Notamacropus eugenii: one gene and its partner. The protein of the gene in region 1 purifies or fractionates together with the protein of each later gene. This does not show direct contact. Links are inferred from orthologs where the notes say so. Each region holds a gene or a part of one and is shown on either strand. Other genes may lie near its edges. The genes, in order: MYL6 and IQGAP1.

Region 1 (16,003 bases):
GAGAGATTGCACAGGAGCAGACACAGAAAGTATAGGATCAAGGAGCAGGTAGCACCAATAACCAATGGTGGCAGCTGCCTGTGCACTCAGGAATCAAGCACTGGAGTACCAGTCTTGGATCTGCAGTTCTTCTCCCATCAAGACCCTCCCCGAGACCACTGTATGCCATAATACAGCTTGGAAGCAAATGAAGAAGCCCTATAGGAGACTTTTGCCCTCTCCCTGCCCCTGCCCCCTTCTCCCCTACCAGGAAGAGTTATAAGAACCTTACCACTAGAGACCATGTCCTTCCCCCAACCCATTAGGGAAAATGGAAATCTACTGGTTGAATTTCATTATCAGCAACAACAATCCTTTACATAATTGGTGGATTGTATTGAAAAATGAACACTGATTCAGGAAGCAACTCACATTACACTTTTTCCATTGGCATCATTGTATCATTGTGAAATGTCTTTTCAGTTGTAACCAAGTAAAAACGTAGCAAAGTGATGAGACGGATAGCCTTTTGGACCTAGAATAAAGAAGATCTAAGCTGATACTCTTTCTCAAACACTTAGTGGCTATGTGACCTTGGGCAAGTCCCTTGAGCTCTCTAAACTTGATTCCTCATTCTAGCACTTACTTCATAGAGTTGTTAGAAGGATTCAGTAAGATAAAACCATATGTATGAAAGCTTTACAAACCTTAAAGTGCTATATCTGTATTTACTATTATTATGAAGAGATAAAGTAAATTTAGAACCAGACCTTGAAAACCACTATATTACTAAGAGGAAGAACTGTGTTTGGATTTTGTTTTGTTTTGTTTTTTAATATCCCCAGCATTTAGCATAGTACCTGGAACAGGAGTGAGGGATCTTTGGCTTCAAGACCACACGTAGCCCTCTAGGTCCTCGAGATTAGCCTTGGATTCAGTCAAAGGGCTCTATTTGAGTTCCTAGAGGGCCACATGTGGCCTCAAGGCCACTGGGGAGTCAGTAACCTGACCTGGAACATAGTAGGTGCTTAATAAGTATTTGTTGATTGACTATTAGATCAAAATTTTAAAAAGAAATGAAGTTCAATCACATTACTCTCACTAAAATGATCATAATACATAAATAATTTTTTAAAAAGTTGGTTATTTGATATTTATCTCATTCTTGAACAACTCCTGTTCTTTTTGAAGGTTTCATTATGTATAGACTATTAGTAAGGCAGTGGATATATATTATGTATAAGTAAGTATACATATATGAGGGTATATTCAAATTTTTTTGCATAAGACAGGTGATCAAAAAAGTGTGAAGACCAACTGTTTAAAGGTTTAAATGCTGAAAGTCTGCAACTATGCTTTCAGCAACCATTTTAAGAGAAAAGAACTACATTTTCCATGAGGTCCAGACATAGGCTGAGACTACCACTCCCAGAATCCTTTGGGGATGGGCAGGCTCAGAATTAACCCATAAGTGGTCTTATCAGAACCACTCAGTGACATAGGCAATTTAAATTTAAGGGTGGCGTTTGGCTCTGTGGCTAGGACTAGATTAGATTGAATCAATCATTTCCTTGAATCCATCAGAGTTATTGTGTGGGAGACTGGGTTACACCCTTTACTCACCTTTGCACTAGCTTTAATCTGCTTTTGATGAATAGAGAATCTGACGCTTAGGAGAAGGGAAGTAACTCAGGCAACAGAGCTGGGAAAACTTGGTGGTATGGTGGAAAGCACTGAATTTGGAGGTAACAGACATGAGCTGAAATCCTGACTCTGACACTGGTCAGTTGTGTGCCCTTGAGCAAGTCATTTAGTTTTCTGGGCTGATTTTCCCTTGTGTAGCCCCACTTACTGGTAAGCCAGTTTGATGGCACTTGTACTCTTCCACTTCAGTTGTGGACTCACTTTGGAGGACCTGGGTTCAGTCCTGTGGGAGCCTGGTCTTTTTTCAGAGAGGAGTCATGATCTTTTTGTCACACTCTTTCTTTCCACCCCCAAACCGAGAGCCTAAGGGGAACTCTCTTAAAACTTGGGTTTGGCCCATGTCTAGAGTCTCCCCAAAATATGAAATGGAAAGATACTCAATAGATATAGGACAGCTATTTATTTCCTCCACAAAAAAAAATATGCTAAAAATACAGAAGATTCCAGCCTGCGCTCGAATTCGAGATTTGACCTTTTGGACCTCTGTTAGTATTAGATCTGAGGGAATTCAAACATAGATTCTTGATGGTATCCTTCTCTGAACTATAGTCTCAGAGGTGACCATTTCAGGATTTCTCCATCTACTTTTTAGAGTTACCTTAGTTTCCTTATCTAAAACATGATGAATTTTCAACTGAACCTTGTTACTCTCCCCATCTCTTTCCCTCTCCCTTGGATCCCATAGGGATCAATACCTGCAGCACAGACCTAGGTGAGGGTGGAAGTCCATGTTGCCCCTGTGTCTGGTTCTGGCCAGCCTGGAGTCAGGGGGTAGGGTAGGGTAGGGTTGAAACTGGTGTGTGAGAAATGAATAATGGGGAGGCTCATTAGGATTTCATTCTTGGGTTCACTCAGGGATGGAGAATTAGCCTTTCTTCCTGACTCAGGACCCTGCTACAGCCTCTTGGCACCAGAAGTCGTTCCAGACCCTTTTCTGTAATACCAAGGCTTGAGTGTATGTTAACTTTGACCTCCATCTGCCTTTGCCGGCCAAGGGGATAGTGTGTTGGAGCACAAAGCCCAGCCTCCCACACTGTCCTTTCTTTATCCTATTTCCCTCCCTCCCAATTTGCTCCTTACCATATGTGGTTCTGGAGCCGGGTAGGGGCAGGAGTGTAAACAGCTGGGATTAGGGGTGATGGATACTGATACCCCACTTCCAATAGCCTGATCCTTGAAAAGGACTTTGGGGAGGGGGAGGAAGTGAGTCATAACTTCACCCTCAACTGTGAATTCTTCCCTCCTCCCAGATGCATCCCACTCCTAGTCTGCAAGAGATTAAGATTTCAGGGGGAGAAAATGTTTCTCCCAGAGGAGAGGGGGTGCAGGGGTTGAAATGTGTGAGTTCTCTTCTGCCTTAGCCTTTCCTCTATCTGTGACTATAAATCTGAGATACCATGGTCCTCTCTGTTGGAGTGATTCCTGCTCACCCAAGGGTGAGACTTTTCATCTAGGCACCCAGTTCCCCATCACCCCCATTCCCTTATTCTCAGAGGGGGCAGTAACTTGGTAAAATGCCTTGGGAAATGTGGGCAGAAAGACAGAGACCTTGGGGCAGGAGGCCCAGAGTGAGGGAGGCAGGAGAGGTAGAGGGCAGGCAGGCTACTTTGTCTTTGTCTTTCTCCTCCACCTCACCCCCCCCACCCCAGTCTGGTCTCTGCTCCCGCCCCCTTGATATCCCATACTACTCCCTGGCTATTTAAACTGAGTGCCCCCTCCGGGCACTGTTCTTGTGCCCGTCATCCATCATTCACCATGGCTCCCAAAAAAGACGCCCCTGTGAAGAGGCCATTGGGACCTGCTGCCCCCAAACCTGCTGCCAAGCCAGCCGTTGCCCCTCCAGGGAAGCCCAAGCCTGAACCAGCTGCTCCCCCTGCCTCAGCAGCTCCCACCAAACCCCAGGAGTCCCCCATTGACCTCTCCAAAGTGGTGGTGAGTCTCTCAGCCCACAAGGGTCAAGATGAAGGGAGGGGGGCAGGGATGGGAGAATGGGGAGGCTTCTTTAGGAGGAAAGGATTTGGAGAAATGATGAATGGTATAAAGGGGCATGGAGATGGGATAGGGGAAATGGGGGAGGAGCTAATGGAGCTGCTATAATGATGTGAGGATTGCCTTAGCCCCTCCCATAACAAACCCAGAAGCCAGATACTAAGTCTATAGAATGGGGTTAGCAGGGCTCTGAGGCCAGGCACCCCAATTCTGCTGTTCCCATGTTCACTTTTCCCCTCTTGCCGCGTCAATGTGGCATATAATGGCACCCCTGTACACCTTGAATGGAGAACAGGGATGTGGGGAACACAAGAATCTGGGAACAGAGATGCTCAGCTCCTTGGGACTGTTTCACAAGAGAGAGAAAGAAGGGGCCAGTGTCCATCAGAGGGTGGACTCTTCAGGGCCTAGGAAAAGAGGCTGAAAGAGAGGGAAAGAGCCTGCTGCTCTGAGAAGGGAGGGTGGGGAGGGGGACTTGTTAGACAATCACAGCTGGGGGTGTGGGGGTAAATTTAGCTTTTGTTCAACTGCCGGTTATGTGAGGGATGCAGGGTTGGGAGAGCCAGGGGGAGGGGAACAGGTGGTGCTGGATTAGCCTTGTTTCCCAGGAAGGTCTCCCTCCCACATACCCGCTGCTAGTATTCTCCTAAGGCTTGGAGCTGGGAATGGGACTCAGGCGCTCTTAGCTCTCAGCTGGGTCCCTTTGGGCCACTCCACAGAGGCTGCCAATTATAAGGGATGGGGGAGGGGGTCTGGCCTGGACTGGGGGTTTCATGGCACCCCACCCCTCTTCACACTGTCTTTTCCTTCACAGATCGAGTTTAACAAGGACCAACTGGAGGGTGAGGAGACCATAACCACCCACCCCCACCCTGCTATCCTAAATCCCTTGTCACAGTCTTGTCTTTCTGTCTCCCTATGTCTTTCTCTCTCTCTTTCTCTTTTTTTTACAGCCCCAGAGCTGCCCTCCACATTAGTTCTGTCCTCAGAATTTCTTCCTCCTGCTGTATTCTACCTTAGTCCACTATTCTGAGCCCTGCTTCCAACCTGGGGATAGAGGGAACCCTTTGGCTAACCCCAATTCCCTCCCCATTCCCAGACTTCAAAGAGGCCTTCCAGCTGTTTGACCGAATAGGAGATGGGAAGATCTTGTACAATCAGTGTGGGGATGTGATGCGGGCCCTGGGCCAGAACCCCACCAATGCTGAGGTGCTCAAGGTTCTGGGTCACCCAAAGAATGATGGTGAGACTGCAGGAATTATGAGCCATAACAGGGAGGATGGTAGCAGGACAAAAAAAGAAATGATGACCAAGGGCTCACAAGTTGTTGTTAAGTACTCTAAGAGTGAGTTGAGTGGGGCTGGTCTGGGTACCCTTACAGGTAATACTGGAGGTGGGGATGGTTCTTTGCCATAGGTAGGGATTTTGTAGAAGCAATTCGGTTCAGATAGGGGTTGGACTAGATTCAGGGGTGGGGAACCTTTGGCCTCAAGGCCACATGTGGCCTTCTAGGTCCTCAGGTGTGGTCCTTTGACTGAATTCAAACTGGATTGTGTTTATGATAATAAAATGTAAGGGATTAATGAAAAACAGACAGACAAACTGGAAAGTGACAGAACTGGCTAAGGTTCATAATTATTAGCTCAAATGAATTGATGAATGTCACTTTGTCATGGGTGTTCAGCCATTCCAGTCATGTCTGACTCTTTGTGACCCCATTTGGGGTTTTCTTGGCAAAGATACTGGAGAGGTTTTCTATTAATGTTCAACTAGGCAGAAGCCAGAAAAGACCCTTAAAAAGATAAGACAAAAGTATTACTAAAAGATGAGAATAGCAGTGACTCCTCCAAATATAGTTTAATGACATATTCATATACCGTATATAAAAGATTTATAATGTGTCATAAAACACAATCTACATGCACGTACAGTAAAATTCTATTTGCTAAAAAAAAACAAACCAAACAACAAACAACCAGATAGAACTAGAATGATACAGATGGGTTAAATGGGATGGTTCTAATGGAACTATCTACTGGCTAGAGATCCCAAGTAATGAGGGTTGGATAGAGGAGTCCTAGGAAGGGGTCACTTAGCACACTCTATCCCCCCCACCCCTCCTCAGAGCTGAACTCCAAACGTGTGGACTTTGAGACCTTCCTGCCCATGCTCCAATCAGTGGCTAAAAGCCGGGACCAAGGCACATATGAAGACTATGTTGAAGGACTTCGAGTGTTTGATAAGGAAGGGAATGGTACAGTCATGGGGGCTGAACTCCGACACGTCCTCACTACCCTGGGTAAGATTGTAAAAAAGATGGCTCATGAGTGGAGGAGAAGTTCACTTGAGATTAAAGGGTAAGATCCCAGATTTTTGGAACTGAACAAGGGAAGAGAACAAGGTGCAGCCCAGGTGCAGGCGTGGGCTTCATGGTCATTGTGGAGGGTAGGTATGTTATGGGAAAGAGGAAGGCAGGGCAGGCATGGCAATTGGAAGTGGCCATTTCAGTCCAGTCTAGGCAAGGAATGACATTTCCTGGAAGGGACATATTTAAAGAAGCAAGAATAGTTAGGAAAGTAGCCAAATTGGGGAAGACCCCAAACTCCAGGGAGCAAGACCTAGGAAATTTCTTAATGTTCTGACAACCTGAAGTGTAGTGGGAAAGTGATGAATCAGAAGACACAGCCTCCAATTCTTCTGCCACTGATTGGCTGGGTGGCTTTGAGAGAGTCACTTTCATCTTTTGTCCTGGAGACAATGAAACCTGGGCTTCCTAGGTATTCTGCTAGCATGAGTGAAGTCATTTTGAAGAAAAGCAAGGTATCGATAAATTTGTAATAGGGGGCATGGGACTGGGGAGGAAGGAGGAAAAGGAAAGGAGAGAGAAGGCTAAGATGCCTCTGTTTGGGGGACTAGATGAGGAAGTACCACTCCTAAATAGTATGGCTGAAGTTGGGGTGGGAGGGAATAGGTTCCAAGTTTATCTGCTTCTGCTATAGGAGAGAAAATGACAGAGGAAGAGGTAGAAACCCTCCTGGCTGGACACGAAGACAGCAATGGTTGCATCAACTATGAGGGTGAGAGGGTGGGGAGGAGTGGAAGTAAGAGGTTTGGAGAGTATGTGTGTGAGTTGGGAGAGGCAGTCGTCCTGGGGAGTGGAGAAATCATCTATACTCCAAGGAGGGAGGGCAGAGCAGGGGTGCATGGTTCTGACCCCCCTCTTTCATCTTCCTTTGGCAGCCTTCCTGAAACACATTATGTCAAGCTGAGGCCCCAAGGTAGAGTGATTCCCCAGCCCAGCCCAGCCCTATCTCCTCAGCTCCATCCCTACCTTTTGGGGGCTTTGGAAGCATTAAGATACCCTGGAAATATCATTGAATATGGACTCAAGCCCTTGGGTTCAGATGTCATCTCTGCTATGAAGGGCTTGCATGGTCGTGTCATTTCATTCCCATAAACCTGTTTCCTCCTCCGTAAAATGAATGACATTTACTCTGTCAGTCTCTCAGGGTTGTTGTGAGAACCAACTATTAGTAGGTGAAAGTGTTTTAAAGGAAAGCAGTAAAGAATGTAAATGGAAGCCGTTTCTATGACTTTTGCTTTCCCTGGGAGAGCTTATGTGCAGCTCCTCTTTTTCCTGAGGGATAGGAGGTGGGGGAGCTGTGAGGGACCGCAGTGCACTAGGTACCCAAACCACCCCAACACCACTCTCTCTCTCCAGATCCTGCTTCTCTCCAGTCAGAAAGAAGGTTTTCCTGCATCCTGGGGAGATGAAAGTCTGGTGCCTTGCACGTAGTAGGCGCTTAGTAAATGTTTGTTGCCTTGAGAATGGAGAAGGAGCGTGTGGGAGCGGACAGACTTGCTGCGTCAGTCCCCCTACCCTCTCTTGATTTTCCGTAATAAAGCAATGGACTTCCAGCTTCTGGTCTGTTATTTGGGGGGCAGGGGAAGGGGGTTTGTGCCTATGTGTAAGATTTCATCTTACTCTTTCCCTCCCTGCTTCTCCCCCACCCCCTTGGTCCTTGGACCAGGTTTGGTGGAAAGAGTGCTTGAGATTTAAGCCTGGTTTCCGGGGCCATTTACTGTGCGGCATTAGGGAAGGCATGGAACCTTAATTTAGTTCAGCCATTTAAACCATCATTTCCTTCTCTGTGATATGCCAGTCCTCCACCTTCCAGGAGAAGTTGGTCCGTCCTTCCTGGTGTCTAACCTCCGTAGATCATAGGACTGGTACGACCAAGGACTGGAGGTCTAGTCCAGCGCGGACCAGGAAGAAACCGAGGCCCAGAGAATCTGGTGACTTGGCCAAGGCTACGCAGTTTACACAGAAGCGGCTATGGGAGGGGGAGTGAAGGCTCTGGAGCGCGTCAGGGGCTCTGGGTTTGAATCCAGCCTCCGCAGGGCCCAGAGATTCAGTCAGATCCCCGAAGCCGAGGCCAAGTTCAGGGCTTTTTCCACTGGCCCCTCCAGCCCGGGCTGCTCAGCAGGGGGGAAGGAGAGCGCATAGCTCCTGGGCTTCTGATGACACTCCCAAAATAGGAGTAGCTCTCATCCCACTTTCTCCTCCCCCTCCCTCCCCGCCCCTGCGCGTCCGGAAAGGCCGAGGCTCCGAGCGGCCTAAGGAAGCTCATCTGCATAAACCTCAGGCCCGGCCTCCAATTGGCTAAATCTGTAGAGGGTGACGTCACGGGACGCGCTAAGGCAGATTGGAGCCGGGCAGGGAGACGGAGCCATTACATTGAGCAGCGGCGGCGGTACGGGCGAGGGAGCGAGCGCTGCACGGCCAAGATGGTGGGGCCCGGCCCGACGGGGAGCCCGGGGGGAGGCCCGGCCCGAAGGGGAGCCCGGGGGCAGGCCCGGCCCGAAGGGGAGCCCGGGGGAGGCCCGGCCCGAAGGGGAGCCCGGGGGCAGGCCCGGCCCGAAGGGGAGCCCGGGGGGAGGCCCGGCCCGACGGGGAGCCCGGGGGGAGGCCCGGCCCGACGGGGAGCCCGGGGGGAGGCCCGGCCCGACGGGGAGCCCGGGGGAGGCCCGGCCCGAAGGGGAGCCCGGGGGAGGCCCGGCCCGACGGGGAGCCCGGGGGGAGGCCCGGCCCGAAGGGGAGCCCGGGGGCAGGCCCGGCCCGAAGGGGAGCCCGGGGGAGGCCCGGCCCGACGGGGAGCCCGGGGGGAGGCTGGCTCCGGGGGGACGGTGGCGGGGCGCCCGGACGGGGCGTTGCGGGGGTCCCTTTGCAGAGGAGCTGCGGCTGGCTCGGGGAGGGGGAAGCCTGGAGGCTGACCTCTCCTGACCTGTCCTCCCCTCTCTTTGTTGGGCCGCAGTGTGACTTCACGGAGGATCAGACCGCGGGTGAGTGGCCCCTGACCCGCCCCGAAGGGGGAGAGGGGCGTAGGCTGGCCCTCCTGGCTGCGGGGACCTCCCTCCGGCATCCGCACCCCGGGGTGCCCGGCTCCTTCCTCCTCCCGGTTTCCTCCATTTTTCTCTCACTCCGTCTCTCCGATTCTCTGTCCTCCTCCTCCTTCTCCTCCTCCTCTCTTTAGATCTGAGCCCCGGGCATTGGGTGAGTTTGTTTTCGGGGGTGGATGTGTGAAGCCTTGGGCTACCTAACCCCTCGTGTGCGCTGTGATGTTTTGGGGGGGCTGTTCGGCCGCCTGCCCCTGCCTCTCTCCCCATTAACCCACTTCCGTCCACTCTGCCCTGGTTGCTGGCCCAGACCTGGGGGAAGGGCTGAGGACTGTGCCTCTGGAAGGTGGGGGCCCGGGAATTTGAGTGGGAAGGAGCGGGCCCCCCGAAGACCCGGCAGAAGCTGTCTGGTCGTGGATGGACGGGAAGCCCAGTCCATTTAGGGAATGGGGACGAAAAAACTGGCCCTTTTGGGATGTCCTGAGGCCGGGGCTGCACCTACTTCCTTATAAGGATTGGAACCCAGGCTGGGCGGTGGCGCATTCCACCCCCGGGAGTAAAGGCGGGGCTCCGGGAAGTTTGAAGTGAGGGAAACTAGAGGGGTGTTAGGGAGATGGGGTGCCCCCAGCTCAGGCAAGGATCAGGACGCTTACATGATTATGTGGGTCCTTTGGGCAACCTGATCAGAAGTGAAACCAGATGCAGCCTGGTAGTGTTACCTACCCGGGAGTATGTTTTCTCCAGACAAAAGTGAATGCGTCCAGAGCTCTGGCTTGTACTTGGGATATCGACCTCCATTTCGGACACTCACTCCTCTCTTGTCCCCCCTCTAGAGTTCAAGGAGGCTTTCCAGCTGTTTGATCGAACAGGGGATGGAAAGATCTTGTACAGCCAGTGTGGGGACGTGATGCGAGCTCTGGGCCAGAACCCCACCAATGCCGAGGTGCTCAAGGTCTTAGGGAATCCCAAGAGTGATGGTGAGAGAGGGCCCCCAGGTTGACTGGGGGTGCACTTAGGAATTCTCTTAAGAATGCTGTCCAACCTATCTATGGAGAGCTTAGTGTATGTGGGGGTGCCCAAACTGTACAAGGTTCCTTTTGGCAATTGTTGAGGGCAAAATGAGTTTCCTGCTTGAGGTGGGAGACGACAGATTGTTAGGCTGTTTGATTTTGTAGTTTTACCTCAGCTGTTTTGTTTGGCTTATGGTTGCTGTTACAGAAGAGGGTTCTGAAATGTTGTGGTATTATACTGGAAAACGTATGATTCAAAAAAAAAAAACCCAAAAGAAAATACAATCCAAAATGAGCCAATGTAATGGTGATGTGGCTTCCTTCTCAAGAGTCCCTCAGCCCAGGGAATGTGGGAAATAGCCATTCTGACCTGATGCCACTAATGTTAACCCCCCCCTTTTTCTCTGGCACAGAGATGAATGTGAAGGTGCTGGACTTCGAACATTTTCTACCAATGCTGCAGACCGTGGCAAAGAATAAGGACCAGGGCACATATGAGGACTATGTGGAAGGGCTTCGGGTGTTTGACAAGGAAGGGAATGGCACAGTCATGGGGGCTGAAATACGACATGTCCTCATCACCCTGGGTAAGACCTCCTTCCACCAAATCCAGACCTCTAGGTTCCCTCTAGTCCTTGGGAGTCCTTCCCTATTGATTCCCTGAGAGGTCTGGTCCCCTCCACAGGTGAGAAGATGACAGAGGAAGAAGTAGAAGTGTTGGTGGCAGGGCATGAGGACAGCAACGGTTGTATCAACTATGAAGGTGAGAGGGGCGTGTTCAGCATTTTCTGGGAAGGATTTAGCAGTGTGGAAAGTTGAGGCAGGGTCATTGAGCAGTCTGTTGGCATCAAGCGCCTCCTTGGTGCTGAGGATATAAAGACAAAAAAGAAAACCCCGCTGCCTTCAGGAGAACCTCTCTTACAAGTCAGTGCAGCTGAATTAATAGCACCCCACTCTGTGCAAGGAGTTGTATCTCCAGGTGGGCTGATGGCTCGGAAAGCACTTTGGAGGCAGGCAAGGGGCAGAGCTTAGCTCTGATTTGGGAGGTTAAAGACAGGGCAGGAAGAGAGCCAGGTGTGAGGGGTGGAAAGTATCTAAGGAATAGAATGTCTCCCCTCACATCCCTGTGTGACACCCCACCACCCTATGTCTGTGTCTTGTCTTCACCATTAATGTCTCTTCCTTCCTGCAGCGTTTGTGAGGCATATCCTGTCGGGGTGAAGGGCCCCATGGGGCGGGTACGGCTCCTCCCAGCCTCTCCTCCCTTTCCTCCCAAGTTGACCTTTCCGTGTCTCCTTCTGGTCCCTTCCCTGCCTTCCCCCTCTTCTCTGGCTATTTGTCCCCTGCCTCTGCCTCTTACCTCTCACTCTCTCTTAGCATGTCTGCATGGACCTGTCTGATTGGGAAGGGGAGGGTAGTCCCGCTGCATAAAGGAAGACTGTCTGGGTATTAGCCCTTCTCCACATGCCCCTCAAATTCTGCCCTGGGCTTTGTGTCTGGCAACTTAGCAGGCCTGGGACAGTCTTGCTTTAGGGTACTATCTTGCCCTTGTCCATAACCCTGGGTGAGGGTTTTGGCGATGGGGGAGGGTTGCCTGGCCAGCTCCTGCTACAGTTGAATCCCTTACCCTTCTTTTTGCTGGGCAGCTTGGAGGTGATCTCCCCCTCCTCCAAAATAAACCCACTGTGTTCTCCCCTTTACCTGCCATGGGTTGACAGTGCCTATAGGTGGTAGTTGGGGGGGAGGGGGCGCCTTCTCTACCTCTGCTGTGTCCTTGCTGCTCAGGGGTGGGATGGAGACTAACAGGTTTTGGGAGGGAAGCTGGGGGCAATGTGGCCAAGTCAGACCTCAGAGGTGGCTCTTCTATCCTGTATGATCACCCCCAGGGCTGGACTCTGGGGGATATTTCCACTCCTGCCACCTTAGGGGTCTAGATGTCCCACCACCCTCAGCTAGCCCTCCCCTATTTGCCTGCTCCCTAGCTCATTCCCATTTCTTTCTCCACAGAGCTAGTCCGGATGGTGCTGAATGGCTGAGAACAAACTCCCCTTTCCACAAAGAACCCCTTCACTTTCTCAGTGTGAAAATCATCCTCTTGCCCCTGAAGCAACTAACTACATTTTCAGGGTTATCAACCTTCTTACTTCCAACCCCCACCATATGTCCTCTTGGGCCTGTTTGCTCTCTACTTTCACCAAATAAACTTGCTCTCTGCTCCTAATGTCTGGTTTGTTCTTGTTCTCTTGGGGTGGTCAGGGAGGAGGCAGGTTATTGATGCCTTTTTTCTCTTTTTAAGGGAAGAGAGGCACAAGGGGGCAAAATCAAGCCAGAGTGGATGGGCCAAGGGTTTAGGCAGAGGAGGGAACCTGCAGCCTTGAGGCCCCATGTGGCCTTCTAGATCCTTGGGTGCAGCCTTTTGACTGAGTCGAAGTTTTACAGAACAAATCCTTTTATAAAGGGGACTTATTCTGTGAAGTATGGATTTGGTCAAAGGGCTACACTTGAGGACCTAGAGGTTTCTTCACCTCAGGGAAACTGAGGTGGTCTCAGCTAGCTGCCTTCAAATAGGTAGAGAAAGGAAATAAAACCACATCTCCTGCCATTCCTGTCCCCAGCAGTTGTTATCACCAACCTCCCCAATGAATAGATAGCTGCAGATGAGCCTCATTTAAACTGGGCCAACTATGTCAACCATTCTCAAGTCACAGCACAAGGAAGACTGAGTTCACCTATCTCCTAATATGGGAAAGACAGAAGGCCCCTAGTCTCTAAAAGGTTCAGGGAAATTAAACTTTGGTTTGAGAAACTACCCAGGCCCTGAAAAGCTAATCAGATCTGTAGCTTTGTCTACAGGCCAAATATCTTCTGCCCTGGGTGGCCAAATATCTTCTGCCCACCTTTATTATCTCTTCTGAGAACTTCCGATTTCTCCTCCCAAAACCCTCATCTTGGAAAGTGGAAAGCTTCCAACAAAAACTTTAAGTAAATTCTCTATCCAGTCCATTCCACTTCTGCCAATTAATGAAGTCAAGTAACACAACACAGCAGGAACCCACCACAAGGTGGAAGTGAAAAGCAAATTAATTTATAAAAAAAAAGGAAAATTTACAGAAGACTTAACAGAAGGTGCTGAGCCACAGAAGGGAGAGTAAGTGTGGGTACATTGTAAAAGGGCACATGGAACAAAGGGCCCAGGTGGGAGGAGACGGTGTGGAGAGGGATGCTGGCTCCAGGAGGAGGGCACGTTGAAGTCAGGTTTGTCTTTACATCCAGGACGAATCAAGGAGAAGAATTTGGAGAGTGGAGAGAGCCAAGAGCTCTAGGTTGTACACCCCCACTTCCCTCCCTGAACCCCCTGGTTCCAGAGATGATCATTTGTGGAAATGAATGTTTCTGGTGGACTTGATGGGGGAAAGGGTTTGAGATCATAAAAGGGAGGTGCTTAAGTGCTTTTTTAAAATTTCGTGTTTTAAAAACATTCCATCTTCTGCCAACTCTACCTTTCATTCCCTCTGGGAAAGTAATTTATTAAGTTTAGGGAGCTTGAGATACAGACTCCAGTTCCCTCTGCCCTACCATTTACTGAAGGACTCTAAACTCCCAAAGTGTCTATTCCCTGCCCCACCCCACCCCCACACACATACACACACACACACACACACACACACACACACACACACACACACACACTCTCACCATATACACTCTAAGCAGCCAATTAAAAAAAACACATACACACACAAAATTTGACATTTAGAGGAATTTGCCTAGCTTGGGACAGGAGGGGAAAGGTGGGGAGGCCTAAAACAGTGACATTATCTGAGGAAGCAGCAGCAGAGTTTATTCTCAATGATCTGGGGAGAGGACTGAATTGATTACTCCAAAAGAGTTGGGGGTGGGGTGTGTGCTGAAGCTGGGGAAAAGGCAAGGAGCCCAGAGGCCACTGACTCCCCTCTAGAGTTCACTCTAGCACTCTTCACCGTTCCTGTTTATCAGAACCACCTCAACTTTTTTTTAATTTGAAGAAGGGAAGGGGGAAAAGCTTTATGTGTGGGTTTCCTCTCCCATTCCTTCTTTCCCTTTAGAAGTGTTTTTGAATTTATTATCTTTAAAAAAATTCCACAAAGCTGCAATATGAGGGGGATATACCCCTAAGAAGTGGTTAATTAGAACCTGGTATAAATACCCACACCCAGTACCTCCCTATTAGCCCCTCTTCTCTGATACAGTATTCTCCTATCCTCTTCCCCAGACGTTAGTAATCTCTTTTAAATAAAAGTCTTGATACAATCAGATAGAAATGTTGTGCCTTTGAGGCACAAACCGACACAGTGGGAAATGGGAAAGGCAGACTTTCCTTACGTAGTGATGGGTTGTCCAGGCTGGGGAGAGGTCCAACTTGTAAAGGGGATGGGGGGAGGCGGCACGTTCTGTCCTTTGGGGTGGGCAGGTTGTTCCAGGAGGCCAAGTCTCCAAACCAGGAATGAGCAGAGAAGAGGTGTCCTGCTGGCTCCTCACTGCGAAGGTGGCACTGGGGTGACCGTGCCTGGGCTGGGGGCTGTGGGATCTGAGGGTATTGGGGTACCAGGGTCTGTGAAAAAGAAATAGATCAATCAGCTGAACTGAAAGACGAGACTCAGATTGAGGCCCCTACAGACAGACAAATACACAGCCAGGGTATGAAGCTCACAGAGGATGAGGAGGATACTTGCTACCACCTTGCTCTCTGTGGATAGCCCAATGCTAATAATGGAGAAGGTTGCTGTACCCCAAATCTTTCCCTTACTCCCCCTGAGGAATCTAATAAGTGATCTAGGTCAACCTTGAGAGTGTCTACTAGGAGTTTAAGCTTGAGGCAGCGATATCTCTCATGACAGGGTCAGGTGATGAAGACATGGGACCATTTGGACACAAAATTAACATGCAAATAAGATGCTAGTCATGCAAATTAGTAACATTTTTCTGAGTTTATAGCTTAAGCGTTTTTGCAACACGGCCCCTCTCTGACCCACCAGGAACAGAACCTAACTTCATCCCAGCTGTAACAGCTGCGTCCCAGGCAGGCTGGGCGGTGAACCCCATGACTACCAGTTTGGGGACTGGTGGAGGAGCATTAGAGGGTCCCCTTCTCCTGTGTTTGATATTACCAAAGTCAGTATGCAGCAAGAAATGGGAATCTCTAGTCAGTCACTGACCTCCTTCCTATTTGTCCTTGATCCCACCACACATCCCCTTACGCCACCCTTTCTCCCCCCAGTTCCCTCCTGGTCCCTTCTCACCTGGCAGCAGGCTGGCACTGGGCATGAAGTTGCCCTGAACAGCTGCCACAATAGCAGGGCTCTGGGCTGCAGCGGATCCCAGCCCTGGCCCGAGAGGCAAGGAGGATGGCATGGTGGTGGTCGCCGGCAGGTTAGGATGTAGAGGGCTCGCCATGGACACAGGCAGGTTAGGTGGGGGGAGGGTTCCCGGGGCAAACGGGAGATGGTGGTGATGCCCATGCAGGTTAGGAGGAGGAGGGAGGTTAATATTGATGGAATCAGCTAGGCTACTAAATGGGATGATGGATGATGGAGGAGGAGGAAGAGGAGGAGGTGGCATGCTGAAAGGCAAACCCAAAGGAGCATTACCGGCCACACTTGGGTGCCCACTGCCTGGCACTGCCCCTGGTATCATTGAGGGAGGAGTTTGTTGGCTAGGAAACGGTGAGGGGCCTAGAAAAGAAAGAAGATGAAGTTAGGAGTTAAAAACTATATTTTCTACCCAGGTTGCTTGGCCAAGATACCCCATTCTCCCCTTTATTGCATCTTTCCCTTTCCTGACAGGAGGGCAAGGACAGATATCTCTATATGACTTCCCTCCACAGTATTATAGCGTAAAGAATAATGAATAGCCAAATATGGTTTCCAGCTCCTATCACTTAAACT
Region 2 (16,801 bases), on another chromosome or scaffold:
GGTATTTTCTTCCATTCTTTCTGATGAGGAAGAACAATGCATACCATCAGAGAAACACATAAAAGTCAAGGCTTCTACATCCAAAAGCTCCAAAATAAATATGCAATGGTCTCAGGCCATGGAAGAGCTCAAAAAGGATTTTGAAAATCAAGTAAGAGAGGTGGAGGAAAAATTGAGAAGAGAAATGAATGACATGCAAGAAAATCATGAAAAGCGAGTCAACAGCTTGCTGAAGGAGACCACAAAAAAATGCTGAAGAAAATAACACCTTTAAAAATAGACTAACTCAAATGGCAAAAGAAGGCCAAAAAGTCAATGAGGAGTAGAATGCTTTAAGAAGCAGAATTTGCCAAATGGAAAAGGAAGTTCAAAAACTCACTGAAGAAAATAGTTCTTTAAAAATTAGAATGGAGCAGATGGAAGCAAATCACTTTATGAGAAACCAAGAAATTACAAAACAAAACCAAAAGAATGAAAAAATGGAAGATAATGTGAAATATCTCATTGGAAAAACACCTGACCTGGAAAATAGATCCAGGAGAGACAATTTAAAAATTATGGAATTACCTGAAAGCCATGATCAAAAAAAGAGTCTAGACATGATCTTCCAAGAAATTATCAAGGAAAACTGCCCTGATATTCTAGAACCAGGGGATAAAATAAATATTAAAAGGATCCACCAAATACCTCCTGAAAGGGATCTGAAAAGAAAAACTCCTAGGAATATTGTAGCCAAATTCCAGAGTTCCCAGGTCAAGGAGAAAATATTGCAAGCAGCCAGAAAGAAAGAATTTGAGTATTGTGGAAATACAATCAGGATAACACAAGATCTAGCAACTTCAACATTAAGGGATTGAAGGGCATGGAATATGATATTCCGGAAGTCAAAGGAGCTAGGATTAAAACCAAGAATCATCTACCCAACAAAACTGAGTATAATACTTCAGGAGAAAAAATGGTCATTCAATAACGCAGAGGACTTTCAAGCATTCTTGATGAAAAGACCAGAGCTGAATTGAAAATTTGACTTTCAAACACAAGAATCAAGAGAAGCATGAAAAGGTAAACAAGAAAGAGAACTCAGAAGGGACTTACTAAAGTTGAACTGTTTACATTCCTATATGGAGAGATAATATTTGTAACTCTTGAAACTTTTCTCAGTATTTGGGTAGTTGGAGGGATTATACACACACACACACACACACACACACACACACACACATACACACGTATATAGACAGAGGGCACAGGGTGAGTTTAATAGGAAGGGATGATATCTAAAAAAATAAAATTAAGAAATGAGAGAGGAATATATTGGGAGGAGAAAGGGAGAAATGGAATGGGGCAAATTATCTCTCATAAAAGAGGCAAGAAAAAATTTTTTCAATGGAGGGGAAAAGTGGGGAGGTGAGAGGGGAAAAAATGAAGCTTAGTTTCATCACATTTTACTTAAAGAGGGAATAACATGCACACTCAATTTGGTATGACAATTTATCTTACATTACAGGAAAGTAGGGGACAAAGGGATAAGTGGGGTATGGGGGGATGACAGAAGGGAGGGTAATGTGAAGAGGGAGTAATTAGAAGTAAACACTTTAGGGGAGGGACAAGATCAAAAGAGAGAATAGAATAAATGGGAGGCAGGATAGGATGGAGGGAAATATAGTTAGTCTTTCACAGCATAACTATTATAGAAGTCTTTTGCAAAACTACACATATATAGCCTATATTGAATTGCTTGCTTTCTCAGTGAGCATGGGTGGAGAGGGAGGAAGGGAGAGAAGCTGGAACTCAAAGTTTTAGGAATGAATGTTGAGAATTGTTTTTGCATGCAACTGGGAAATAAGAAATACAGGTAATGGGGTATAGAAATCTATCTTGTCCTACAAGAGAAGAGAGAAGATGGGGATAAGGGAAGGGAGGGGTGTGATAGAAGAGAGGGAAGATTGGGGGAAGGGGTAATCAGAATGCACAGTGTTTTGGGGTGGGGGAGGGGAGAGATGGGGAGAAAATTTGGAACTCAAAATATTGTGGAAATGAATGTTGAAAACAACAACAAAAAAATAAATTTAAAAAAAATCTGAATCCAGAAAAAAAGGTACTAAAATTGTGATATCTCACCCCCACCCCAAAACTTTATTTTCCCTCCATTATCAGCAATCTTGAGAATCAAAAACTCATTGCCCTCAATAAGATGCCACTTTCAGCATGGACCTCCTCTCTTCTTGAAAAAAGTATTCAGGATATATAGATGGTAGTAGGGATCACATGTCACAGGTGCCCTAAGAATAACATGGTTACTGTGGTTAGGTAACCCCATGTGTAGCAATAAATAAGGAAGAAGGGATAAAAGAGAGGAGAGAAATTCAGGAGTGTGCACCTTAAGACACAGAATAAAAACCACTCCTCTTTTTCTAATCCCCAGGTTTCAGGGTCACAAGGAAACTAGAGTAGGAGGAGATGATTCACATCAAGTTATTAATGGCTCTCCCCTCTTTGGGCCCACGGTCATAGATAGTACCATCAGTTAATAATAGTTTGGACTTTCCAGGGAGAGTCCATTGCTTAGCTGCAAATCTCCTGCTTGTTGCTTGCCTCCACAATAGTGCTAGATAAATATCTCTTTATTCTAGAATATGTTGAATTCAAATTTCTATCATCTACCCAATAACACATAAATTAAGATTAGCAATTGCTAATACAGTTCATGTATCATTAAAGTAAACAGTGGCAAAGAAATAGACAAAAATTGCAGTGGGGAAAAGGGAACTATTGTGGACATATGTTGAGTAGACACTGTCGGCTGCCACAGGAACCAGGGCTTTCCTGCATTAACTTATTCCACCCAGAGAGAAGAAGAGAAGCATAAATTCAGGAAGAGTGTGGCAACTAAGAGTGGCTGCCTTCTTTATGGCTCAGAGCTGTAGGAAGAGAAATTTGTCTTTAGGGCAGTACCCAGGCTGGTTTGCTGTGCTCAGCAGCCACAATCATTCCTGCCTATTTCAGCTATGCTGTTAACTGGGCTGGTTGGCACTGGGTTAGCAATATTTACTTCTTTCACAGTCTTTGAAAGAGAGAGACAAGAGGAAATCCTATGTTGAATGTTTGACTCTGAAAAAGTCCACATAGTCTCAAGATGGAGGCGACCTAACTTTCTACCTCTGGGTCACAGTTTCCTTCTCTCTCTCTCTCTCTCTCCCTCTCTCTCTTCCTCTCTCTCTCTCTCTCTCTCTCTCTCTCTCTCTCTCTCTCTCTCTCTCTCTCTCTCTCTCTCTCTCTCTCTCCCTCCCTACCTCTCTCTCTCCCTCCTTCCCTCCCTCCCTCCCTCCCTCTCTCCCTCCCTCTCTCCCTCTCTCTGCCCTCCCTACCTCTCTCTCCCTCTCTCTCCTTCTCTCTCAACTTGTGAACAATCTCAGAAGCCTTCACATACTTAATGAACTCAGTGGCAGACAGAATCCTGAAGAAGTGGCTAAATCTCTGTGGTAACCCTTTGACTGGGCCAGATTCCAATGCAGAGTTACATCCTTAAGAGATTTCTGTGTAGTTTACAAGTCTCTGGTCTCTGTCTCTGTCTCTCTCTCTGAAGGAAGAGAAAGAGAGAGAAGATGAGTGGAGAGGAGAGAGAGGTAAGAAAGAAGAGAGGAGAGAGAAAGGGATGAGAGAGAGAGGAGAAAAAGAGAAGCAAGAGAGAAGAGAGAGAAAGGGAGGGAGAGAAGAGAGACAGTGAGAAACAGAGGGAGAGATTGAGGGAGGGAGGGAGTAAGAGAGAAAGATAAAGGGAAAGGTTGAGGAGGAGGAAGGCTGGAGATGGAGAGGGAAGGAGAAAGATATGTGGGCAAAAAGCTAGTGCTGTCTTCAAACTTTCCCTCAAAACCTTCATAGATTTGGGATCTCATCTTTCAACAGTGTAAATCACTGCCCATCCAATACTCATTCTGGGTACCTTTTATCTGCATCCTCTAGTAAACTGTCCATGTTCTGGGATCATTCCTCTAAATCTTTTGACACTGTTTTTATAGTATGAGACCATGCAGGTTGTACATTGGTTATTACTCTCATGACATCAACCAACTTATCTCATATTTCTCTCTCATGATGTATGGCCAACAGAATTAGTCCATTTGTGTATGTCTTTTATATACGTGTGTGTGTGTGTGTGTGTGTTGGACAGATAGAGCCAGAATTGAATAGGAGGAAGATAGTAGATTGAATTGTGTTTGGAAATACCCAAATCAGAGATCTCTCTTTAGAACTGTAATATTCTTCTAGGGATTCAGTATGACTGTAAGTCATGATATACTATAGTTTCTAAATAATTAAAATGGGAAGTTACCAAAAAGCAGGATAGTTTACAATATATGAACAATTAAGATTTGTGTAGGAGAAGTGGCATAAATCTATACTGGTCCATTAATGATGTCTGAGTGTGCAGAATGAAAAGAAACATTCTGCTCTGGGTTGCATATTCTGGAAAGAAAATGTCATTAGCTTTTTCTGTCCCTTGTTGCTCTCTCCATTTGTAGCCAACCTTTCTTTCATCTCACTCACCTCAATGGGCCTGGAAGGAATACTAGAATACTCTTTATTTTTTAATGGAACTTCTGCCAAGGCCAGACAAGCCAGCTTGGCTGAAGCAGCAAAGCATCCTAAGAAAGAGACAGGAGAGGGCATGTGCCAGGTTGGTTGAACCATTACCATCATGTTAAATACCATCTTTCCTTGGATCAGTGTGGAACTAGCCTAGCATGCAAAGCTGAAGAACCCTGGGAATTGCAGTGTCTCTCAGTCCCCCCATGCTAATTCCAGCCTGGTCCTTAATGCCATCATTAAAGGGAACCTTTTGGAGAGAAGGTTTGCTCGTCTTACCACCAATAATAACTGCTGACCAGTTGCAACCAATAAGCAAGTAATCTCCAAAGCCTCAGAAATAATGGTACCATTCAGACTATCAATCCTGCTACCAGTCAAGTCCCTGCAGCCATTATCCAGGGGAACAAACCTAGCGGAGATGCAACTTGTCAATTCTCTCTTCAGGTGCTGATGCCAAAGCTCTTCCTCCTTAGTAGCCACAGCTACTAATACACTGAAAAGAAAGTTCTCTCACCAGAGTCCTTGGCTCTGTCAAATTGTGCAATGTCAAAAATGTATAATTTATTCAATGGAAATAACATGGAAGAAGATGCAGTCTCATCTGTTTTGCTTCTGTTCAATGATATTTTCTATCTTACCTGCAGCTGAAACCCCCTATGTGTCTTCTCCCTCCAATAGGATGTGTGATCCTCAAGGACAGATACTGTCTTGCTTTTCTACTTGAATCTCCAGCGCTTAGTACAATGCTTTACATATAGTAAGTCAAAACTTGATAAATGCTTTTTCATTCATTCATTCATTCATTCATTCATTCATTCATTCATTCATTCCTCTGATGTCTTCACTCAGCAATTTCTCTTCCTATGAGGTTTCCTTCATCTATCCTTATCACTCTGCTCAATCTTCATTGTGATCATCTACCAGCTTATCACCCTTTGCTCAAGTACCTAGTCTTCTTTTATCCTAACTCGTCCTTATCCTTTGTAACTTTGACATACATGTCTCTTCATCAACCTCTTCATCTTCAGTGACCTCTATCTCCACTCTGTCTAATCCACTCACACTTTTTACCTCACTAGAATAGCTAACATTTACATAGGATTTAAGGTTTGCAAGCTACTTTACATATGTTATCTCACCAGTACTCCACACTTGGTGATTGCAGTCTCCTGTCCTTCCATTTCTACCTTTGCCTCACTCCTGAAGCTCTTTGTCTTTACCGATGACTTCCAGTCCTTCCATCCTTTCCTGTTCTTCTACTTCATCAACCCCTACCTGTGGTCGGTCTCACTTTCCTCTCTTCTCAGTCTTGACCCTAGGCTCTAGCTAAACTAACATATTTGCTCTACTCTGAACTCAAGGTTTTCTCTTCCACCTTTGCACAGCCTTTCCCCTCTGTAATGCACTCTGTCTTTACTTCCGTCTCTTAGAATCCTAAGATTTCTTAGCACATAAAGTTCTTGAAGATAGAGACTTTCATATTTGACTTTGTATCCTCAGTAGTCTTTCCTTGTATCCTCATAGTGTCTTTCTCATTGTAGATGCTTACAAGATTTTGTCCAATGGAAATAGCTTGACCCTGTTCAGTGTTTTCTTTGATCTCTGATCAGACCCTGGCACAAACCTTTTTTGCTCAGGAAGGTTCTTTTCTAGGGTCCCAGTGATTGCTCTACCTCACCAGTACACATGATCTCCTTCCCCTTATGGATTCTATTGTGCTTTACTGTCAGGAAACAAATTGTTTCCACCATAGCTGGCAGAACTCTGTGTGCACCACTGTAAATCTTCAAGTTTCTGTAGAACTAACAATGCTCTGGGGAGCACTTGTAGACTTGAAGGAAGTCTGTAAGTAGCTCCGGAAGCTGGGTGGAGTTGGCAGCTCTATGTTCTCGTGGTGCTACAAGTTCCTCAGATCCTTTTGCCAGATGATCAGAAGATTTTTCCATGGATTCTCACTTTAAAAAAAAAAAATTTTAGACTAAAAATCTAGACTTGAGATTTCATTAACTCCAGATGTAGGAATTCTCTCCATTAACACGTCAGAAACTTCTCTGTAACTCATAGTCTGGGTGACCTGCTCCAGGGCCTGAGAGGTAGAGGCATTTGGCCCAAGAAACCACTAAACCAAGGACTAAACCTAGTCCAAATGAATGCTCGGAAGGACCTATTTGTACAAAAATATAGCAGCTCTTTTTGTGGTAGCAAAGAATCGGAAATTGAGGGGATGTCCATCAGTTGTAGAACTGATAAACAAGTTGTGGCATATGATTATAATGGAATACTATTATGCTATAAGAAATGATAAGCAGGATGATTTCAGAAAAGACTAGAAAGACTAACACAAACTGATGCAAAGTGAGCAGAACCAGGAGAACACTGTATACAGTAACAGCAATATTGTATGATGATCAGCTGTAAATGACTTAGCTATTCTCAGCAATACAATGATCCCAGACAATTTCAAAGAACTCATGATAAAGAATGCTATCTGCCTCCAGAGAAAGAACTGATGGAATCTGAATGCAGATTGAAGCATAGTATTTTTCACTTTCTTCATTTTTTCATATATTTTTTTCTTTTTGTACGTTTTCTTTTGCAACATGACTAATATGGAAATATGTTTTACATGACTACATATGTATAACATATCAAATTGTTTACTGTTTCAAGGAGGGGGGAGGTGAGGGAAGGAGGGAGAAAATTTGGAACTCAAAATGAAAAAAAAGAATGCTAAAAATTGTCTTTATATATAGTTGAAAAAAATTATTAAACCTCTTTGCCTCAGAAGAAAAAGAAATCCTCAGATAGGGCCACAAAGAATCAAACATGACTGAACAACAACAAATTCAATTTTCCAAATTTTAAATTCAGTTCCCCCTTGCACTCATTATGTGTGCAATAGTCATTTCAGGTGGTGACTACCTGGGCAAGTTAGAGGCTGCCAAAGACAATCTGTGAAATATTTTATGAGCACACAAACCTGTATATAAATGGGATGTTAGCTGTCATCTTATCCCTGTGGAATACTCAGAGGAAATATGTCTGGTTATATGCCTGTTACGTCTGTGCCACGGCTCTCACAAATATGTATTACCTGGCTTTAGTTTTTAAAAATATTCTGAATACCAAGTGAAATGAGCATTTCCATACACATATACACAATGGAACAGAATAAGAACATGGTACATGGAGCTGATGATCATTATATTGTGTGGCTTGCCCTTCTTTGAAAATATATAATATATTTAACCTTTAGCTTTTCCAGCTTTTCTGTGGTTCTTTCTGGTCTTCATTCAGTTTTTCTTTTCTGCATTTTTTTAAAAGTTGCCTCCATGACCCTCTTTTCTTTTCCCTACACTGTCTCTATGAATCTTTCCCTTTCCACCCCCAGTCTTCCAAATGGAGAAAAAGTTTTTTATAATAGCCCTTGTTATAAATATTCATAATCAAGCAGAACAAATTCTGTCTTACTTTACAAATGCATGTAGATGATATTGTGATTAAAAATATAAATTTATTCAAAAGTGTTACCAGATACATAATCACTTTTGTCAAGCATTTTCTCTATCAATTCATGCTAATAGTTCTACAACTATAAGAGGGGGAGGGGTCGCAATTCAGTTTATTTTTTTATGTTAAAAAGGACCTAAACTAAACATTTATCAGCACACTCACCCTGGGGTGTTCTAGGAAATGTTTTATCACCTGGCTCCTCAAAGTAAAAAAGATATTCAGGGAACACTTTTAAATTTAATTGACATGAAGATTTCTTTCATTATTTTCTTCAGTCTAGACAATTCACAAAACAGGCCTTGATTTGCAGCTGTTGCTGGTTTTTGCTATGTAAATATTCGCAAGAAACATTTCTGGGTCCAGAATGTCCCAGGACAATAAGTACCACCCATCTGTAAGAATTGTCAGGTTCTTTCCTGCTCTGAATACTAAAATGCAAGGTTTTAAACCTGTGTGTGTGTGTGTGTGTGTGTGTGTGTGTGTGTGTGTGTGTGTGTGTGAAAGACCTCTTTACAGTCTAGTAAAACTTATATGGACCTGTTCTCAGAATAATAATTTTAGATAATTGAAGGAAATATTACATTTTAGTGATGAGTGAAAATAAAGATGTAATTTTTCTTCCATACAAGTTTATAGATTCCCTGAAATCTATCCAATGGGGACCAGATTAAGAGTTTTTGCTATCCTATGACCAATAATTAATTTTATACATTATGACACTAAAAATTAATTATTATAAAATATCATATGTTAATGTTAAATATGTATGATAATATATAATTTTAGTTCAGCTATTTTTTTTGGTGGTCATGACTCCATTTGGGGTTTCTTGGCAAAGATACTGGTTTGTCACTTCCTTCTCCAGCTCATTTTACAGATAAGGAAACTGAGGCAAATGGATTTAAGTAACTTGCCCAGGGTCACACCAAGTGTCTGGGGCCAGATTTGAATTCAGGAAGACGAGTCTTCTGATTCCAGGCGCAGCACTCCATACACTGGGCCACCTAACTGATCATATATAATATTATAGTATAGGTCCTATGATCCCGATTCCTTTAGAGAGAGTAATGAGTTTCATCACTGAATAATAATAATAATAATAGCTAGTTTTTATATGGTTCTGAAGCCCTCTACAATATATATGTAATATATATTGTAATATACAATATACATCGTGTATATAATATATATTATGTATAATATACAATACCATATACAATACATAACATTATAAAGCAAAGTGCTTTATGTCTATGGGGTATCCCGAAAGTTTCAGTGCAGTTTTAAACGTCAAAACTTCTGGGACACTTTGTATCATTCCATTTGATGACTGACCTAGAACTAGAAGGAAACTTACAAAGTTATCCAGAACCATCTTATTTTAAGAGGAGGAAACCCGGCGGAGTGGGGCGGTGAATAGTGCTGGATCCCTGACATGAAGTCAGGAGGGAGACCTAAGTTCAGATCCTGCCTCTGACCCCCCTTAGCCCGGTGACCTTCTCTGTAAAAATGGGGATGATAACAACAGCGTTGTGAGGCTCTAATAAGCGAAGGCTTGGAAAGCTCCACTGCACCGCGTGGAGGAGGAGGCTGAGGAGGGGGAGGGGGAATAGGTGAGGCGGATGACGTCATGGGGCGCTGCGGAGGCAGGTGTGGCTCTCCCCCCTCCCTCTCCGCACAGCTGGAATGCGGCTTAGAGCTCAGGCCTGGGGAGCTCGGGGCCTACCCGAAGCCCCGACCCAGGGGAGCCCCGGGGAGGGCTGGGGGTGGGGCCGGTAAGTGTTTAACCACTGTCTCTCCCCGGAAAAAGTAGGGAGGGTGCGCTTTGAAGTTTCTTCTGCATTACGTAAAGCTCCAAGGTGGTAATTAATTTGGTAATATTTGTGGAGCGCTTCATAAACGCCGGTACCCCTCTCCACCATTAGTAACATTTCCTCCATCATCAGCCTCGAGCCCCGCTCGGTGGATTTGCCGCGCCCGCCAATTTCCGAGGGGTAAACGCTCGCACTTTAAATTTAACCACGGGCTCCCCAGAGCCCCCACCCCCAACCCCAGGGGGCGCAGGCGCGGGTTGCGGAAGGCCGGGTCGCCCCCGAGGCATCATAAAGTCAGGCGGAGAAAGCAAAGCCAGGAGAGTGGGCGGACAGAGCCGAGCAAGTTTGGGATGGCTCATCCGCCGTAAGCAGCGCCGCAGCCCATAGAGGGCGGGGGAAGGGAGGTGTGGGCGGGGCTTCTCGGGCCCCGCCTCCTCCGTCGGCCTCCACCTTCTCCCCCTCCCTCCCCCTACGGCTGCGGGTTCGGGGCGGGGCCGCGGGCGCGGGCGCGGGCACGGTCACACCCAGCGCGCCTCCGCCGCTGTCGCTGCCCCTGCCGCGCCCGGGAAGCGCTACGCCGCCTGCCTCTTCCCTCCGAGGCTTCGCCGCGCACGTCTCGCTCTTGCAGCCATGTCCGCCGCGGACGAAGTTGACGGACTGGCGGTGGTCCGGCCGCACTATGGCTGTGAGTCCGGGGTCGGGCGGGGCCGGGAGGGCGAGCCCGGGGAGGCCCAGCCGGCCCAAGGCGGAGGTGGCTCCGGTTCCCCTTGGGGCCGCGCCGCGCCGACCCGGAAGGGCAGGGCGCGCCCGTTGTCCGGGCTCTGGGGCCGCGGCCTCGGCCCCCTCCCCGATCACGCCGGGAGCTGGCCGTCCTGGCACTTCTGTCTGTCAGCTGGAGCCGGGCTGGCCGGGCTCGGGGAGGGGGTTGGCGGGGGTGGTGAGGGTGTGGATGGCCCCCAGCCCCTCGGACCCCCCGGAGGAAACACCCATCCTCCGGTGGAGGAAACTGAGGCTGAGGAGGCCCGCTCGGCAGCGCAGCCCCGTGTCCCGCGCTGGGCGGCTCCGAAGAGCGCTCCCTGCCAGTCCCGGACTGGGGGGCCCGTGAACTTACCTTTTTTAAACCATCTTGCTAAATGTTTCAGTGCATTTATTTCCTTTGTCATCTCACGTATTTTATACATTTAAAAGCAATTTGAAGAAGGGTGTCCACAGGCTCCCCACACCGACGTAGGAGTCCCTAACACCAAAAATACAAATAAACATGAGGGAGAATTGAGAATTTATGGGAGGCACGTTTTGTTGAGTGGAAAAGAGCTCTGGCCGCGTGGAGTTTAGAGACGGGGCATCTTGGTGTGGTGAAGGAATGGGGCACTCTTGGAATCAGGAGACCCAGGGCTCTAACCCACTTCTGCTAACTGTGGAACCCCAGTTGGGCAAGTCAGTTTTACTTAGGCCTCTGTTTCCCTTTTTTTCTAAAATGAGAGAATTGGAGCAGACGATCTCTAGATCACAGGAGCTGTCTCTATTCTGTGTTCTAGGTCTTTAGGAAAGATAAAATGTTATTGATTTATGTCCCCTCTCTCCTTCTGAGGGCCATCACTTCAATCAAAAAATAACAAAGCCAGGGGAAAAAAATCAGTTCAGCAAAACCAGCCAATATATGAAGAGTTTTATGTTATATGCAGTGTTCTGCACCATAGTTTCCCTCCCCTCCTTTCTGCAAAGTGGGGAGATTGCCTTCTCAAAGCTCTCATAGATCCAAGCTTTGTTCTGAAGTGTCCTGAGCCTTTCAGGGCTATAGTTTTCTTTTTACCAGGATCTTGAAAGTAATGAAGGGGAAGGGAAGGAACTTGCTTCCTTATTCAATCTGTCAAGTAATTCTGCTTTCTTAGGGTTTTGGACATTGTTACATCTGTTCTACCAGGGAAAAGGGAGACCCAGCCCAGTTCCCTTTTTTTTCCTCCTGAAAGAGGCCCTGCCCTTTGATGATGTAGGGGTTTTAGTTTCAAGTTATGCACTGGAAATAAGGTTCTTATAGATTAGCTTGTTTCATTAACAACAGTAAGATGCAAAGTCAGATATATGCTTATGTTACTACGTTTTGATAAAAATAATATAGGTGGGGCCCAAAGTCCTTGCAAGAATAAGGTCATTATATTATACCTGGCAACACTTGTTGCCAAGGGGAGTGGGAAGTTACCAAACTGAGTCAGGATCAACTGATCTGGCTTTCTTACATCTCTATAGATGTAAGCTACAGATTTCCATATTTATATAATTTCTCTTATTTTGTAGCTGTCTTGGATAATGAAAGGCTCACTGCAGAGGAGATGGATGAGAGGAGACATCAGAATGTGGCTTATGAGTACCTTTGTCACCTAGAGGAAGCAAAGAGGTAAGGAAAAGGTGGTTGGCAATAAATGGAGACAAGGATCTTGGTTTGTGTGAATTTCTCTTTGGTACTTGTGTCCGTGGGAGCTTAGGTTTGTAGTGAGGGCAAATGAGCTTAGGGCTAATTTGAAGGAACTTGGAAAATCATTTAGTTCAGGCTCCCACCCCTTACAGGACATCTAGATAACTAGTTAAGGGCAGAATTAGGGCTATATTCCAAGTCTCCTCCCTCTGAGATCTGTGCTTTTCAATGCTTAACCATACTTTATTCCCTTCAGAACATTTTCTTTTCTATCCGGTCTTGAACTTTTAGCATAAGAGGTAGCCCTTTTTCTTCTTTTTTCTGTCTTTTTTTTTAGTTTTTAGTGTAAACTTTTATAAGATTTTGAATTCTAAATTTTTTCTATCTCCATTCCCCTTTCCCCAAGACAGCAAGCAATCTGATATAGGTTATTCCTGTGCAATCATATTAAACATATTTCCACATTAGTCATGTTCTAAAAGAAGAATCAGAACAAAAGGGGAAAACCACAAGAAAGAAAAAGACATTAAAATAATATGCTTCAATCTGCATTCAGACTCCATAGTTCTTTCTCTGGATGTGGATGGCATTTTCTATCATGAGTCTTTTGGAATTGTGTTGTATCATTGTATTGCTGAGAAAAACTAAGTTATTCACAGTTAGTTGATCTTCACACAATATTGCTGTTACTATGTACAACATTCTCCTGGTTCTGCTCGCTTCACTCAGCATTAGTTTATATAAATCTTTCCAGGTTTTTCTGAAATCAGCCTGCTTATCATTATTTATAGTACAATAATATTCCTTTACATTCATATATCACAACTAATTGAGACATTCACAAATTGATGGGCATCTCCTCAATTTCCAATTCTTTGCTGAGGTGGACCTTTTTCTATGAAGTCGCTCTTATGTGTGGTCCTTCAGAGGTTTACTCCTTTCAAATTGAGCTATTTTACAAAGCTGTTATAAAAATGTTTCCTAATGCTTACCTATAAGCAGTCACCTCATTCTGGAAGCTATCACTGCTTATGAACAAATTCTCTTTTGTGCATAAATCCATCCATTCACTAAGGCTGTATTATTTGCAGGGCACAGGGGATGCCAAAACAGATTATGACTTAACCCCTCTTTCAGACTTAAAATCGAAGTGGGGAAGGAGAGCCACACAAATAATTGTTGTAAGGGAAAGTAAGGTAAATTCACAGTGCTATGAGAAATTTGAGGAGGATGAAATCACCTTTACTTCAGTGGATATGGAGTTGGTGAGGCAGTAGCTGAATTGAGCATTGAAGAGAGGAATTTTAGAATGTGGAAATGCTCCAGGGAATCTTTTTGGTGCATAGGGGAAAGCATGAGCAAAGCCATGAAGACTGGAGGTGGCTAGAGAAGAATGGAGAATAATAGTCTCCTTTGGTTGGAAGAGGAGAGAGGCAGGATGAGCAGGTTGAACTCAGATTGTGAAAGTACTTGATCAGGATTGTTGATTTCATTTTGTAAGCAAGGGAAAACTATTTAAGGTTTTTGTGTAGAGGAGTAACATTAGCACAGTTGGGCTTTCCCAAAACAGTTGTGTTCATACTTGGGAGAGAAGTCCAGGTAGACCTGCTAGGCAGCACCAAGGACAGAGTTTTTTTCATTCTTACTTGGTGGTCCAGCCCCTACCCAGAACTAGGAACTGCTTTGTGAGACACTGAGTTTTGCAGATCTGAGAAAAGCAGGGTCTCTCTAGGACTAATTTTTGGAGGGCCTGTGGTCTCTGAGTATCCTGTCTTCTTGAATGAATCTATAGTAACATCTAGAAATCTTCAAGTGGAAGTTTGTAAGATGGCTTACGGTGGTGGTCATCGAAGTCAGGCTCCATGAAAATAAGAGTTAAATTACTTAAAGATTGAAGTCTGTGATACCATGAAGGTATGGGTAAAATAAACTAACTCATTCGTTTGTATACTATCAGAAGTGGTGAGTGTCCCATAACATTTGGAGTAGGAGAGGCTTCTTTACACAGTAGGGAGTAAGTGACCCAGGTATAGGCTTATAAAGCTGGAAGTGACCTTTGAGGTAATCTGATCCACAATCTCTTAATTTCATCTTGGAGGAAATTGGGGATCAGAGAGATGAAGTACTTGCCCAAGAAAACTCTCAGGTTAATGACACAGTTGGGACTGGGATGCAGGCTGAAAATATAGCCAGGCCCAGAAGCGTTTCCATAAGTTCGTCTGTTCATGGCAATGAAGGAGAAGCATAGGAACAGATTTCTAACCTTGTAGGCTGGTGTCACTGAGAGAGGCTGCCGTCTTCTCCTGTGAAAACGTATCTTGGTGCCCTGGCTGGTCAGAGCCGGTATAGATTGCTCTTACCTGCAAATAGAAGCTTCAAGTTCATTTGCTGTAGAAACAGTGTTTTTAATAAGAGTTATTAAATGTTGTGTCATTCTTGATAATTACAAGGCATTTTACAGTTATCTTAATTCTTACAACATCTGGGTGAGGGAGGCTGAACAAATACCATTATCCCTATTTTACAGATGAAGAGACTGAAGCTTTAAGGAGTTCCATTACCTACCCAAAGTCACATAGCTGAGAGCCACTGTTTGGGTCCCCAGGTGGTTAGGTTCCCAAGCTAGTTCAAAAAAGCCTGTTTAATTCAGTATAGCTGAAATAGTTTTTCAGTAGACAGTAGTAAAAAATTTTATTTATTGCAATACTAGTAATTCTACTAAAGGCTTGTTTCCATGCCTCATCATGACTGGAGGTGACCGTGGGTTCTCAAAGGTAAAGCCAGTGAGGTACATGCTCTGGCAGAGCCTATCTGTCTGGAAAGGATTTTAATGTGGGTCTAGTGACAGACTGTCATCTAAGAACCAGCCGAGTTAAGTTTGGAGAGATTCAACTCAGAATACTGGCCATCGATACGGAATTTTTTTGTCATTGTTGTAACAACTTGTGAAGCTATCTGTCAAGGAATGGAGGGATTGGAATCAACTTTGGTGGAAGTTAAATCATAGAATTTTACTTACCTTGCATACTGGTGGTTAAAGAAAAGCAGGGTTAATTAGAGGACAGTTAGGAGGTAGATAGAAGTTTTTATAGAGAATCCAAAGGGCATTTCTGGGTATTCAAAGGTGTTTATAGGTTGATTGTGAGGGTTTGGTGTCGTAGGAACATAAAATAAGGTATAGTGGTGGGAGGTACTTTGGAGAACATGTAGTCTAACACCGTTATTTTACAAGGGGAAAAACTGAGGCCTGGAGAGGTAAAGTGATTTGTTCAAGTGTCAAGCTCTTAAAACAAGGTTTCAAAACAAGGCTTTTTTACTCCACGTTCATTACCCTCAAATTTAATTTAAAATTTACGACTTTTTTTGCAAGAAGGCTTATGTGAACTGAGGCAGAGTGAAGTAAACAGCATTATGGAAGCATATCTCCAGTATAGCAAGAACCAAAACAAATGAAACTGAATTCTTGTATTTATTATGATTATGCAGAAGAGAAAATTTCCTTCCTTCTCTCTTTTCCTTCCTCCCTCCCTCTGTCCCTTCTTTCTTCATTCCTTTTCCCCCCCAGAGAAGGTGGATAATGAGGCAGCATTATACTTTGATGTCAGACTCTGTTAATGTGTTGTTTAGTTTTTCTGTAGCATTTTTTCTTTTCTGTTCTTTGTTACAAGGGATACCTCACTTTTTAGGGGAGGGGAAAGGGATATCTTCTGAGATGAGGATGTTATAAAGTCAAAGGTTATCAATAAAAATTTAAAATGTTAAAACTATCTTTCCTATAGTGGAGGCATATTACTACCACTTTTCTTATGTCTGGTAGCGGTGATCACTTATTTTGTAAATGGAACAAAGAGAGGGAGAGATTTTTCCTAGGGTAACTGGGGAAGAGAGAAAGAAGAAAGGAGTCGGGGTATGGGGTATGTGTGTATGTGAATGAGAAAGAGAGACCAACATACACACAAGATCCTGTAACTTACTTAGACCCTCATTAAACACAGGGGAAAAGGATATATGCTTCATCTACTTGAGGGAGAAGGAAGGAGGAGATAGTTCCCATGTATTAGTCATGAGGTGACACAGACAACCCAAGGCAGCTTGATGACTCTGGAGTAGCTTTGGAGTGGGTAAGGGTAGAGAGGTGGGTTGTATTTAATAGGCTTTGGGATATATGAGATGTTAACATCCCATATCTAATGTGCCTATACTAGGTTTGACCTAGAATTCTATGATATTTCTAGTGCACTGATAAGGCCCAGACACTTGACTAGGAATTGGATTTGTGTTTCTTTGAAAATCTGCACTGTTGATTCGTTTTTCTCCAGTAGGCTGTGGTTCTTTAAGATAAGGATATAAATGTGTTTATCAGAGCTGTTGTTGAGAGTACTTCGGTTTTCCCTTGTAGAATTTTATTGTCTTTCCTGTTTGATTCCTGCTTCTCTAAGATGGGGTGTTTTTTGGGTACTGGTACCTCGTT

What was found.
Region 2: the proteins of MYL6 (region 1) and IQGAP1 purify together in Homo sapiens (affinity purification with mass spectrometry; 4 studies listed by BioGRID and IntAct, counting the BioPlex papers as one, with this or other methods). This does not show direct contact. The link is inferred for Notamacropus eugenii from reciprocal best matches to the Homo sapiens genes MYL6 and IQGAP1.

The regions. Positions count from the first base shown.
Region 1 is NC_092874.1:231,422,753-231,438,755, forward strand, and holds MYL6 (myosin light polypeptide 6), read left to right. Parts: upstream 1-7,607; 5' UTR 7,608-8,460; coding exon 8,461-8,463; intron 8,464-8,987; coding exon 8,988-9,015; intron 9,016-9,052; exon of another isoform or gene 9,053-9,226; intron 9,227-9,902; coding exon 9,903-10,046; intron 10,047-10,492; coding exon 10,493-10,666; intron 10,667-10,764; coding exon 10,765-10,842; intron 10,843-11,271; coding exon 11,272-11,300; 3' UTR 11,301-11,317; intron 11,318-12,086; coding exon of another isoform or gene 12,087-12,115; 3' UTR 12,116-12,300; downstream 12,301-16,003. Other genes in the region: MYL6B (myosin light chain 6B), read left to right, coding at 3,439-3,615, 4,487-4,514, 4,772-4,915, 5,798-5,971, 6,672-6,749, 6,913-6,941; SWI/SNF complex subunit SMARCC2, read right to left, coding at 14,594-14,670, 15,359-15,790. UniProt on the Homo sapiens protein: Regulatory light chain of myosin. Does not bind calcium.
Region 2 is NC_092872.1:249,254,794-249,271,594, forward strand, and holds the start of IQGAP1 (ras GTPase-activating-like protein IQGAP1), read left to right. Parts: upstream 1-10,308; 5' UTR 10,309-10,547; coding exon 10,548-10,602; intron 10,603-12,212; coding exon 12,213-12,312; intron 12,313-16,801. UniProt on the Homo sapiens protein: Plays a crucial role in regulating the dynamics and assembly of the actin cytoskeleton.